Callithrix jacchus: one gene and its partners. The protein of the gene in region 1 interacts with the protein of each later gene in a pairwise test. Links are inferred from orthologs where the notes say so. Each region holds a gene or a part of one and is shown on either strand. Other genes may lie near its edges.

Region 1 (3,748 bases):
TCCTTCCCTACAATTTCCCTTATTTTTAATTGTGCAAGTATCTAAAAAAGTAAGATCACAGGAGGGTTTATAACAAAAAGTCCCCAGCCCCAACTCAATCCTCCCCTTAGGGAAACTCTTAATTGCTCCCATTTTCAGTTCTGGCAGCTCTCTCCATATTTGTGGAAACGATTTGTTGGATTATCAATGTAAGGTATTATCTGCCGACTCACTGCTAAAATAGATCAGGATTTAACTAACACTCCTCTCCACTTCTAACAATTATTACCTTATGTTCTAATCTTTGAATTATATACTTAAACCTCGATTTTTTTGTTGTTGTTTTGTTGCTCAAACTTAGCAAGATACTGGTTCTGCTGTCTTCCATCGGCTGCACCTTTGCCTTTACTTCAAGGTTGAGAACATTGACCTTCAGGTCTGTCATCCTGCTTAAGAGTTTCCGTGCTTTGTCTGCAAGATGGTGCTAAAAGCTTAACCCACGAGCAGTATTTGCTGGGTTTTGTCGGTGGAGGACAGACAGCGTGCTCTGCCTCGCTGGCTACCAAGTGCTGGGGCTGCAGCCTGTCCCCTCCAGGTGCAATGTCATGTCCCCAGATGCTTAACTTGTGGTCTACGGGTACCTTTTAAAACTCGTATGCAACACTGCTTGCAATTTTTTCCTTCCAAGTGGACTGCTTCGGGCATCCCTCCCCGCCCCAAATTCTCAAGGGGGTCTGGCACCCACCGTTTTAGGGAGCGTCAGAACAATTCCCAGGGCTCAGATATCAAGGAGACAAAAGCTACCGCTCAATGGGCGTTTTCTTAGCCCTAAACTCCCGATCGACCCCGAGTCTCCCCGCCAGATTCGGAGCAAATCTGAGTCAAGATGCGAGAGGGGCGAGCGGGCGGCGGACCAAGCGCTTCTGGCACCCTTGCGCCTCCCGCCGGCACGAAGGACTTCCCTGGACAACCGCTCAACTCTCAGAGGTCGGAATTCTAGACCCTCAGGCCCTCGTTGCCTATCCACGGACGCGCCGGCCTCGGGACACCCACCGCAGGGGTAGGACGCGGCGCGGCGGGCTCCACAGCCCAGACCCCAGAACACGCTCCTAGGAGCCGCACCGCGCAGATCAGGGGGCGGGCTTTCGGCCGCACCCCTTCACTCTTTCCCCGCCTTCTTTGTTTATTCCGGGCCCGACATTGGCTGCATGCCCTCGAGACCGGGCGAGCCGCGCGCCTTTGGAGAGACGCGATTGGGCGAAGTCGCTGCCGCTCGGCCAGCGGCCCGCTCCCGATTGGTTGAGGAGCCGCCGGGGGTTTGAATCGCATCCCCAGCCGGGGAGGGTTCTGCCAAAGTGCCACGTTGGGCCCGGCGGCGGCGTGAGGAGCCGGCTCGGGGCCCTCGCGTCGGAACGCCCAGCCGTTGGGGCCGTTGGGGCCGTTGGGTGGCGCGACGCGAGTCAAGGAGGCGGCCGGTCGGTAGCGGCCGCCGGCGGGAGCAGGGCTGAGGCGGAGTGGCGGAGCCTGGGCGGCGGCGCGTCCCACCCGAGGGCGGCTCTGGCTGAGGGCGGAGGGACCGGGGGAGAGCCCGGGGCAGCGGCTGAGGTGGGACGGCGGCGGTGGGAGCCGCTGCCCCCGGAGGACCCAGCGGAGATGCTGGCGGAAAACCTGGTGGAGGAGTTTGAGATGAAGGAGGACGAACCGTGGTACGACCACCAGGACCTCCAGCAAGGTGAGGGCGGGGGCGCCCCTCGGGCGGGCGGGTGGCGGCCTGGCCCAGGAGGCTCCCGATGCGGAACTGTTAAAAAGTTGCTTTCTCTGGCGGTGGAGGATGCAGGTGCCGGGAAGGGCTCGGGCGCACCTGGCGGCGGGGCCGGCGGTGCCTGCGGATCCCGCCCGCAGGAAGCCTCGGCGCGGGGCCCACGGCCCTGCAAATACGCAGTTCAATATCGGCCCCAGGGCGCGTGGGGGCCAGCGGCGCGCCAGGCACCGTTTTAAGCGCTTTCCCTGGATTAACTGGTTTAATCTTCGCTGCATTCCTCCAAGACAGACCCGGGTGAACCAGGTGCCCCGCAGTAAGTGGCCGAACCCGGGAAGCCGCCCCCTCGCAGCCTGTCGACCCCAGCGCCTTTCATGGCCAGCGCGGAGGGCCGGCCGCTGCAGGTGGTGGTGGTTTTGCGCCTAGCGGGAGCTGTGTGCTCCGCACGTAACGGAACTCCAGGAAGCAGTAACTTTTCAAAAATTTATTTTTTAATGTTTGAGGGTACATAATAGGTGTATATATTTATGGGGTACATGAGATGTTTGGATACAGGCTCACATTGTGAAATAAGCACATGATGGGAAACGGGGAGTCCATCCCCTCCAGCATTTATCCGTTGAGATACTAACAAACCAATTACACTGAAAGTAACTTTTGTTACCCCATTTTCCAGATGGGAAAGGGGAGGCTCAAATGGTTAAGTCGCTTGCCTAAAGCTAAGTGTGGAGGGAGTGTTTTTTGAACCACACACTCGGAATTGTAGTCACTGCTCAAACCCCATCTCTTCTTTTCCATCCTAGTTTACAGCTTTTTTCAATTGGGCGTTAAGCTGTTAGACATAGTTCACCAGATGCCAATTGAAACGGCAGAAGAGCCCTTCTACCTCTGTCACTTCAGTTTGCATGCCAGCTTTCACTTAGAAACAGGCCTGCCGGTGGTGTCTCCAGAGAACAATCGTAGAGCGGCCCGCACTTTGGGACCAGTGGGCCCCCCTTTTTTTCATACTAATAGGAGCTAGCAGTTGGGAAACACTTTTTATGTGCCTAACACTGATAAGCCCATAACACAGTTGCTCATTTAATTCTCCTGGTAACACAATAGAGGTAGTAATGTTGGGGAGTGCTAGGGTTCCCCTTAAGACTCCAGAACATTCTTAACCACTGTGCTGAATACTGAATAATCCTCAAGAATTTTTCCAGGCATCTTCAGTTTCTGTAATTTTGTGTAAATGCTTTCACTAATCTTGCAGTGAAAATTAACATCTCATTTAGTTGAATATTAAATGATCATGATGCTTGTTCATGCTAACCGAACGTGGCAGAAGAAAAGAATCTAGACTTGAATAATTCAGAAAAGGATAATAAGCACCTCTTTTGGAGGAAGATAATTTCTTAAATTAACGTGCAATCACTTTAACCAAAGTAATTCACCTTATTATGCCTATAGACTCCAAGCTACTTAGTGGTTGCCGTGCAGTGTTCGGCACCATCTTCTTTAGGTCAAAAAGACAAATCTGTCATACATTTTAACAAACCTGTTTTCAGATTTCCCCATAAGGATTGATGGCCTAGTTTGATAGTTTCTCCAGGATTTATGAGGCAACCACTGTGCCATTGCAATATTTCCCTATAATTTAAGCAATCTGTATCATCATAACTAAATATTTTTCTTTCTTGTATTTAAGAAGCATAAATCTTTAAGGGAATAGAGGGGGTAGGTTCCTTTTTCAGGTTATTTCCAGCATCTAGCATAATACTTGTTACATACTGGAAGCCCAATTTTAATATTTGTTGAACTGAACTAAAGCACTCACACAAAATTGTTTTCCATGGCTCTCTTCCATCAGGTACCTTACTCCACGCTGCATTCTCCCGCTGTGGGAGATTGTTAGGAACAACTAGCTGTAACACTTCAGTCTACTGAGAAGCAAGTGCAAGGTGTCAGGGTTGCAGGTGGAATTCTCTTTAACCTCTGATCAAAATAAAGTCATTAGCTCTTCAAGTTTAA
Region 2 (3,648 bases), on another chromosome or scaffold:
TGATGTTTGAATATCAAACGCAGAGATTTCTGAAGCTTTAATGCCAATAGTTAGTGAGTCTGTTTAGATTCTTGTCTCCCGCTCATCTGTGAGTCGGGCGCTGAGCTGTGGCTGCTACTGCCAGATGCCGACTCTTGAGGGGGACGGTGGGAGGCGAGGTGGGCGCCGCCTCGGTCTCCCGGCCAGTCTTGCTGCCTGAGGTGCGCCGAGTACAGCGGGCTGCTCGCTCTTGTGCATCCAGCTGGTCCTCACACTCTGCCTGGGGACTGTGCGCCAGGGGGAAGGTCCGCCGTTCCCAGGGCTGGACAGACTGTAGGCAGACAAGTTGCTCTGTGAGGACCCAGTTGCAGCCAGCCTGCTTCCTGCTCCAAGGCTCTGCCATAAACCTTGTGGCCTGGAGCCTAGGACCAGTCTATTTGGAGTTCCCCAGGTAGTCTGGGAACACCCCTCATAGGGTGGGAACCTTTTTAACAATCATCAGTACAGTTCCACTGGACGTTGAGAGGTCAATTTAAGTGCAGCCCCTTGTCCCTTCAAAAGGGAGGAGGAGATGGCTTATGATGTAGATCCCTCTTCAGCAGGTGCTGTCCCTTCCTGGTTCCATCCCTAACCACGCCAACCCCACACAAAGGCTGTGTCCCTTACCTGTTCATCCAGCCCCAGCTCTGGCGTGGAACAACGGGTATCCTCACTGGCTAAGTGTCTCGGAGTGTCCCGAGCCATAGGCGTGAGGGGTGCAGAGTGCAGTTCCGGGCTAATGGGGCTCCTAGGGGACTGGCCATGGGCGTATTCCGACAAAGAGTGGCTACTGCTGACATCAGGGGAGGCAGGCTGTGGGGTGGAGGGGTTGGCACTGCCCAGCTGGGGGGTTGTCCGGCCGTCTGATGACCTGTAGGACCTATACATCAAGGAATGCAAATCTGAGTGCCTGGGAAATATGTTTATTTATGGGGGTAGAGGGCATGAAAAAAAGCATCCCCACAGGAGGGGCTGATGTGAACGAAGACTAACAGATTTTCCTTCGGATCCAGCAATTCCCATTCTTCCCACTACTCTCTGGAGGGGTAGGTATAAAACATCTACCATCCCAAGAAAAAACCATGGCTGAACAATGCCGGGGTGAGTCGCTATCAAAATGCCTACTGAATTCAGGAGGTAAGGAAGATTCGTATAGACTTTGAAAACTGTAGTCAAAGAAAAAAAAGTAAAAATAAGAGCCCCTAAAACGTTCTACTTGAGAATCCCGAGGGTTTCTGCCACTGTTAACAATAAATGGAGATTGGGTAGTGATGGACATAAGGGGGGCAGTTCCTTCAAGTGGCATCACAAAGCCACTGTCCAAAGGAAGGTTAACTTGTAGTGGGGCCTTCCAAGCTCCCCTGGTTGAATCACCATGACCCCTCAACTGCCTTCCAAATGGCACAGATCACGGGTATTTATCAGAATTGAACAGTGACTCCTCAGCAAGGATTTAGCACTTGGCTCCTTATACCTCCACTAGTTCCAACAAACACCAAGGAACTTCTGAGCACTTTCCCACTGCCAGTAGATGAATATGATGACCAACCAAGAGACAGCAGCAATTCCACAGACTCAGGTAGGGCCCCAACTCCCTGTCTACCCTCTCTCCACAGGCCCTGGGGACCCATGCCTGACCCATCACCTGCTGCCTCGCCGCTGGGGTGGCACACTCGTAGTCCACAGCCACCGTGCCCTCTCCATCTCCTCACATTTGGCATGTAGGGCGGCGAAGGCTGCGTCGGACAGGTCCTCAATCTGCAACGGAGAAACTTTATCAATCCCCTCTTTTCTCCTAGAGTTAAGAATCCCACCCCATTCAAGGCTCTTCCCAGTCAGGACAGGAATATAAGGAGCTTGCACTTGACACCCAAAGGTCTTGAGGTCATGCCATCTAGGGTGTGTGCACTCGTGTGTGTGTGTGCACACATGTGCGCATGTATACACGTGTTCTTCTAAGAGAAGGACCATGCCATTACCTCCTCATTCTCCTCATCAGGACTCCCCTTCAGAGACTGAAGATCAACCTCCCGCCAGCTGCAAAACCAAGAACGGACAATCATGAGATAGCAAGCAGGCTGCAACCCAGGGCAGGGTCAGAGTGTCCATGCAAGGATGAGAATCCTGCACCCACGTGACACTGCTCTCTGTTGGGCAGGCTCTGCCCTACCACAGCTCAGTCTCCTCACCCCTCAAGGCCTGTGAAATTGGCCACCTACTCAAATGCCTGCGAAGGCCAGAAGTTAAAGAAGCGGCCTGGGGTGGGCTGAGGCTAAGACACTGTGACAAACTCAAGAAAAGAAACCTGTTTAAAGGGGACCATCACTGTTCAGGACCAGCTGACTGCTCCCATATGAAAATGCATATCCAGGGCTGCCTCATTTTCTGTTCGGCAATAAAAGCTGGAAACACAGAGTTTTGTTTTGTTTTCAGACGGAGTTTCGCTCTTGTTACCCAGGCTGGAGTGCAATGGCGCGATCTCTGCTCACTGCAACCTCCGCCTCCTGGGTTCAGACAATTCTCCTGCCTCAGCCTCCTCAGTAGCTGGGATTACAGGCACGCGCCACCCATGCCCAGCTGATTTTTTGTATTTTTAGTAGAGACAGGGTTTCACCATGTTGACCAGGATGGTCTCCATCTCTCGACCTCATGATCCACCCATCTCGGCCTCCCAAAGTGCTGGGATTACAGGCGTGAGCCACCAGAGTTTTATGTGAAATCCTGCTTTGATGTTGACAACAAATTCAGTATTTTAAAACATACTGTATGTGTTGACAAAACCTGTCTCTAGACCAGTAAGTCAGTGGTCTACCAGGTTGTGACTGCTGGTTCGTTTGGTGTATACCTATAATGGAATGAGAGAGAACTATACACAGAAATAATTTCGCTCTTATCAGATAAAGAATTTCTCTTAATGAGAAAAGAGAACCAAAGACTAGGGCTCAAAGCTTGGTCAGAAGAGAAGAGGGAAAAGGCAATAGCAGGAAGAATGAGGAGAGGAGCCAACTATTCTGAGCTTCTACCTGGGAGTAAGGATTTCCTTGTATTGCAGTTTCTCTACGCGGGTTGTTGCAGCAACAGACATTGGGATGACAATGTTGTTAATATCGAATGAGCTCTCTCCCCTTCTCCTCCTTACTGGCTGCTGCTGTAAGATAAAAGTTAAGTTTAAAGGGAGGCACAATTTTATAGACATCAAATCATTCACCCAAGACTTAAAGCAGGATCACCAGTAACAAGGCATCTGGGTCCTTGGGTTAAAACTGAGTAGTGACCACAGCAGCTGCTCCCACCTAGGAGTCAGACTACAACAGCAAAAACCTCACAGAGAAATACTAGGAAGTTGTGAGGAGTTATTCCCATTCATAAGTCCCACTGGTCACCCTCTTCCTTCATGGACTCATGTGTAAAGAGACTGGTTAAATTTCACAGGTGGGGTTCCTACTCCATATATACCTCTGTTAACCCCCTCTCCTTTTAAAATCCTCGTTTCCCTCCTTTATCCCCATTTATGACTCAGACTCATAGTGGCCCTCCCTTAAAAGCAGTGCTTGAAATCTTATCCTGAAAGATGCCCAAAGGACAGGCCTATCTCAATAAATCATCTAACCTTGGTTGTCATGATATCTG
Region 3 (3,748 bases), on another chromosome or scaffold:
TGCAACCTCTACCTCCCGGGTTCACCTGAGTCTCCTGCCTAAGCCTCCTGAGTAGCTGGGATTACAAGCATGCGGCATCACACTCAGCTAAGTTTTGTATTTTTAGTAGAGATGGGGTTTCACTATGTTGGTCAGGCTGGCCTTGAAATCTGGACCTCGGGTGATCCACCGGCCTCGATCTCCCAAAGCGCTGGGATTACAGGCATGAGCCACCGCGACTGGCCTTTATAGTTAATTTTAGACAAGGCAGAAAACTCCTGGCTCCAGATACACTCAGGTGACTTGGTTAACATATGAATGTTAACCATGATGTGACAGATAAGACTTCAATTTCTTTAGACTGAACCAGGATGGCTGCGAAGACGAAAGTCAGGTCAGGACCAAGGATAAAAACTAGGCAAATACAACTTTTTTTCCCCCCCCATTTAAAACAAAGCTTTGAGGATTAGAACCATGATTCGGGAAGCCTTAGTTCAGGAGTCCACCGAGATGTGTGTTTGTTGACCGGTGGTGGTGGGTGGGGTGTGTTGACAAGTTTTCTCCGCCCTTGACCTTTAGCCTAGATATTATTTTTTCCAACTGAGGCAACCCCAGAGAGAAGCAGCCAGGGTCCACCACCCGGCTCACAGAGCGTGACCTTTGCCCCAGATAGCCTCAGAAAGCAGATGAGAGAAGAGGTGAGAGGTGAGAGGTGCCTACAGCCCCCAGGACCGGCCTTGTCGCTTTTGCCCTAATTCCTCCACTTATCCCCACCTTACGTTCCCTCTCACCCGGGCAGGACAGCTTGGCTAGCGGCACCAGCATGTTCAAAGTCACCAGGATTCTCGGTCGGACAGAACAGGAGGAATCTCCGCTGCTCGCGGCGGGCGTTGGACCTCTAGGCCGCGGGGGGCGCCATCACCTGCCGGGAAGCAAGAACTCGACCGCAGTTCGTCTACCCAGCTCTGCCGACAGCTCTTGCTTCGCGGCGTTCCCGCCTCCTTCTCACTCTGCGCCGGCGCCATGCATGACGCGGCGGACAGCCGAGGCTTCCGGGTCATGTACCAAACCAGGGAAATTAGGGACTCCAAGACCCAGCCGGGGCGCGGTGCCAGCCAGAGCGCGGCTAGAGAGGTTCACGAATCCCACAGGACAACGCACGCGCAGTGAAAGACAGTGGAAGGCGGGGCGACGCGCACAGCTTCCTGGGAGGGGTAGTCTTCTGCACGCGCGCCCTTCCAGCCCTACTAGAGGCTCGCGCAGTAGCCTTGAGCTGCCTAAGGTGGATAGATGTCATCTGATTGGCTGTCCCGAAAAATGAAAAGTCTTTGTGATCCAGGGCTGAGACCCGTGAGGAGACGGGGCGGGATTTCGGGCGCTAGGAGGCGGGGCCACTTGGCTTTGGGCGCGAGCGGTTAAAAGACAGTTGGTGTCGGTTCGGGTGCTCGATTGGATTCCGCGGTCTCAGTCCTCCCCCATGGCCGACCCTGTGGAGCTGCAGGTTTCTTCGCCTCCCCCGCCTCCTCCTTCTTCTCCCTCCTCTGCAGACGCCTCTGCAGCATCTTTCCCCGGCGGCCCAGTGAGTTTGAGCTGGCCAGTTCCGAGCGGGAGCAGCGGCCGAAAGGTTGACCCGCTGGAGGAAGTGGAGCTGCAAATCGGAGACGTGAGTGTGTAGTTGGGACTGCGTCCCTCCTCGGCGCCTCTGGGAAGACTGGCGGCGGCTGGGCCCGCGAGGCCAGGGAGTCGGTCCCCCAACCCCACGACCGGGGACGACCGGCCCTTCTGCACCCGAGAGCTTGCGGGCGGGAAGCGGGGAGTGGGAGATGCCAGCAGCTAAACCCTTTCTGAGTGTTCCCCTTTAGATTTAGCGGTGAGGAGTCTTAAGGGTTATCCATCCACCCGCCCCACTTCTAACTGGTCTCTTTTTGTCTCGCCTTCTGGTTTCAATCATCCGCAGTAACCCGAAGCCATGCAGCTCTGCGCCGCCCAGTGCTGGCTTTTTGCCTCCTCCCCTCCCATCAGAGAATAGTTTTCACTGCATGGGTTTGCTTGCTGCCTGCGAGTGTTTAGGTTCAGACTGTGATTTTTTTCCATGGGACTTAGAGCCCGCTGTTCTAGTTGGCCACCTGCCCAGGGACAGATGATAATGCCATTGTCTGCCTCAGGCCTGCTTAGCGGTGGACCCAGCTTGAAGGGTTTAGGTCACGTGGATTGGCTTCATTAAGGGTTTAGTTCAGCACTCCTTCCTTTGTATGATTGCTAGCACTCCTCCCTTTGTAGAATGCATACTTAGTAAGGATAGTTTCTGTTAAATCTCGAGTCCCCAGAAACTAGCACCCCACCTCCCACCCCTAACTCACACAAGATAGGGAGGGGGAGAAGGGAAGTCACAGTTTTATGGTCTCTCGAGTGGGTCAAGTGGAATGAGGTATGTAGGCTGTAACCTTCTGGGAGAGCTCTGTGGCATGACCTTTCTTAAGGATTGGAAACTGCGGGATGACCTCGACTATCTCATTGCTGCGCATGTATTTTTTTAAGGATGACTAAAGTGCATATTCAGCCTTTATTTTTGCAGAACAAACTGATTGTAAGTAAATATGTAGAATTTTCTTATATATTCTTTGAATATTCTACAAAGAAATATGTAGAATGAAGTGCTAATGTGTTATTTAGGAAAAACGTTTTATTTTATATCATCAGCAAAGAAAATATTTGCCTAAAAAGTGAAATTTCCACCAGGAGCTGAGTGTTTTCTGCATTCGTGTGTGATTTCGTTGATGTTGTTTGTCAGAGCTCAGAGTTTCTGTTCTTTGATCTATACATTTTCATTGTTTAAAGCGTTCACAGGTCAATGCCCATGTTACCCACATAGCAGTAAGAATTATTTATGATGAATTCCTTCAGATACTTCTGACACTTAGTGTGAAGGGGTCCAAGTCATCTTGTTGAACTGAGACTAGTGTATTTTCACAGAAAACAACAATACTGACTTGTCATGTCTCATACATAGTGAATATTTTTCTAGCAGACCTGTTTCCTCAAAGCCTACTCAATTTTCAAACTAAAGCATTGGCTCTTTCAGGGAACCTAAGAAATATTGAAGAGCCAATGCTTTAGTTTGAAAATTGATTACTTTTAAAGAAAACAGGGGCATTGGATTCAAGGCCTTAAGCTATTTTGAGACTACTTGTAAAATGAGATGAGAATTTAAAAAATAAACTTGTTTGACTTTTTTTTTTTAATTTTAGGCAGCCTTTTCATTAACCAAACTCCTTGAAGCCACATCTGCAGTATCAGCTCAAGTGGAAGAGCTTGCCTTCAAATGTACAGAAAATGCACGTTTCCTTAAAACATGGCGGGACCTCTTGAAAGAAGGCTATGATTCTTTGAAACCTGATGACTAATTTGACATACTTCGTTGTTTAATAATGACTGTATTACTTCATACTTCTTCATATGTCATATTTGTACATTTACCACATGTATAGGATGACCTCTGTTCAGAAGTTCTGTATGCACTCAGAATGAAATTTTTCTTCGTTTTTGAATGGATGTTCAATCATAACCGTTGATTCCATAACAACTTAAGATAACAAGAGTTCCGTCCATTGGCCCACCCGTGTCTTCCCTCTTGACAGGTCTCTGTGCCACCATTTGTAGCAATGGCAGTGAGAGACTTGCTCCCGGTATTATGTTGGGGTCTTTGAAGCCTGTGATTGTTGGGTTGGTTCTTTTGGTCCAATAATTGGCTACTATGGCCAGGTTGGGA

The links.
Region 2: the proteins of CDR2 (region 1) and KANSL1 interact in binary tests that used the Homo sapiens proteins (3 or more experiments, as listed by UniProt). The two-hybrid records come from large-scale screens. The link is inferred for Callithrix jacchus from reciprocal best matches to the Homo sapiens genes CDR2 and KANSL1.
Region 3: the proteins of CDR2 (region 1) and C3H4orf46 interact in binary tests that used the Homo sapiens proteins (3 or more experiments, as listed by UniProt). The two-hybrid records come from large-scale screens. The link is inferred for Callithrix jacchus from reciprocal best matches to the Homo sapiens genes CDR2 and C4orf46.

What each region holds. Positions count from the first base shown.
Region 1 is NC_133513.1:22,965,811-22,969,558, reverse strand, and holds the start of CDR2 (cerebellar degeneration-related protein 2), read left to right. Parts: upstream 1-1,328; 5' UTR 1,329-1,632; coding exon 1,633-1,711; intron 1,712-3,748.
Region 2 is NC_133506.1:86,771,433-86,775,080, forward strand, and holds part of KANSL1 (KAT8 regulatory NSL complex subunit 1), read right to left. Parts: intron 3,167-3,648; coding exon 3,042-3,166; intron 2,056-3,041; coding exon 1,998-2,055; intron 1,777-1,997; coding exon 1,664-1,776; intron 899-1,663; coding exon 646-898; intron 311-645; coding exon 83-310; 3' UTR 1-82. UniProt on the Homo sapiens protein: Non-catalytic component of the NSL histone acetyltransferase complex, a multiprotein complex that mediates histone H4 acetylation at 'Lys-5'- and 'Lys-8' (H4K5ac and H4K8ac) at transcription start sites and promotes transcription initiation.
Region 3 is NC_133504.1:37,670,906-37,674,653, forward strand, and holds the start of C3H4orf46 (renal cancer differentiation gene 1 protein), read left to right. Parts: upstream 1-1,240; 5' UTR 1,241-1,456; coding exon 1,457-1,642; intron 1,643-3,227; coding exon 3,228-3,383; 3' UTR 3,384-3,748. Other genes in the region: ETFDH (electron transfer flavoprotein-ubiquinone oxidoreductase, mitochondrial), read right to left, coding at 771-804.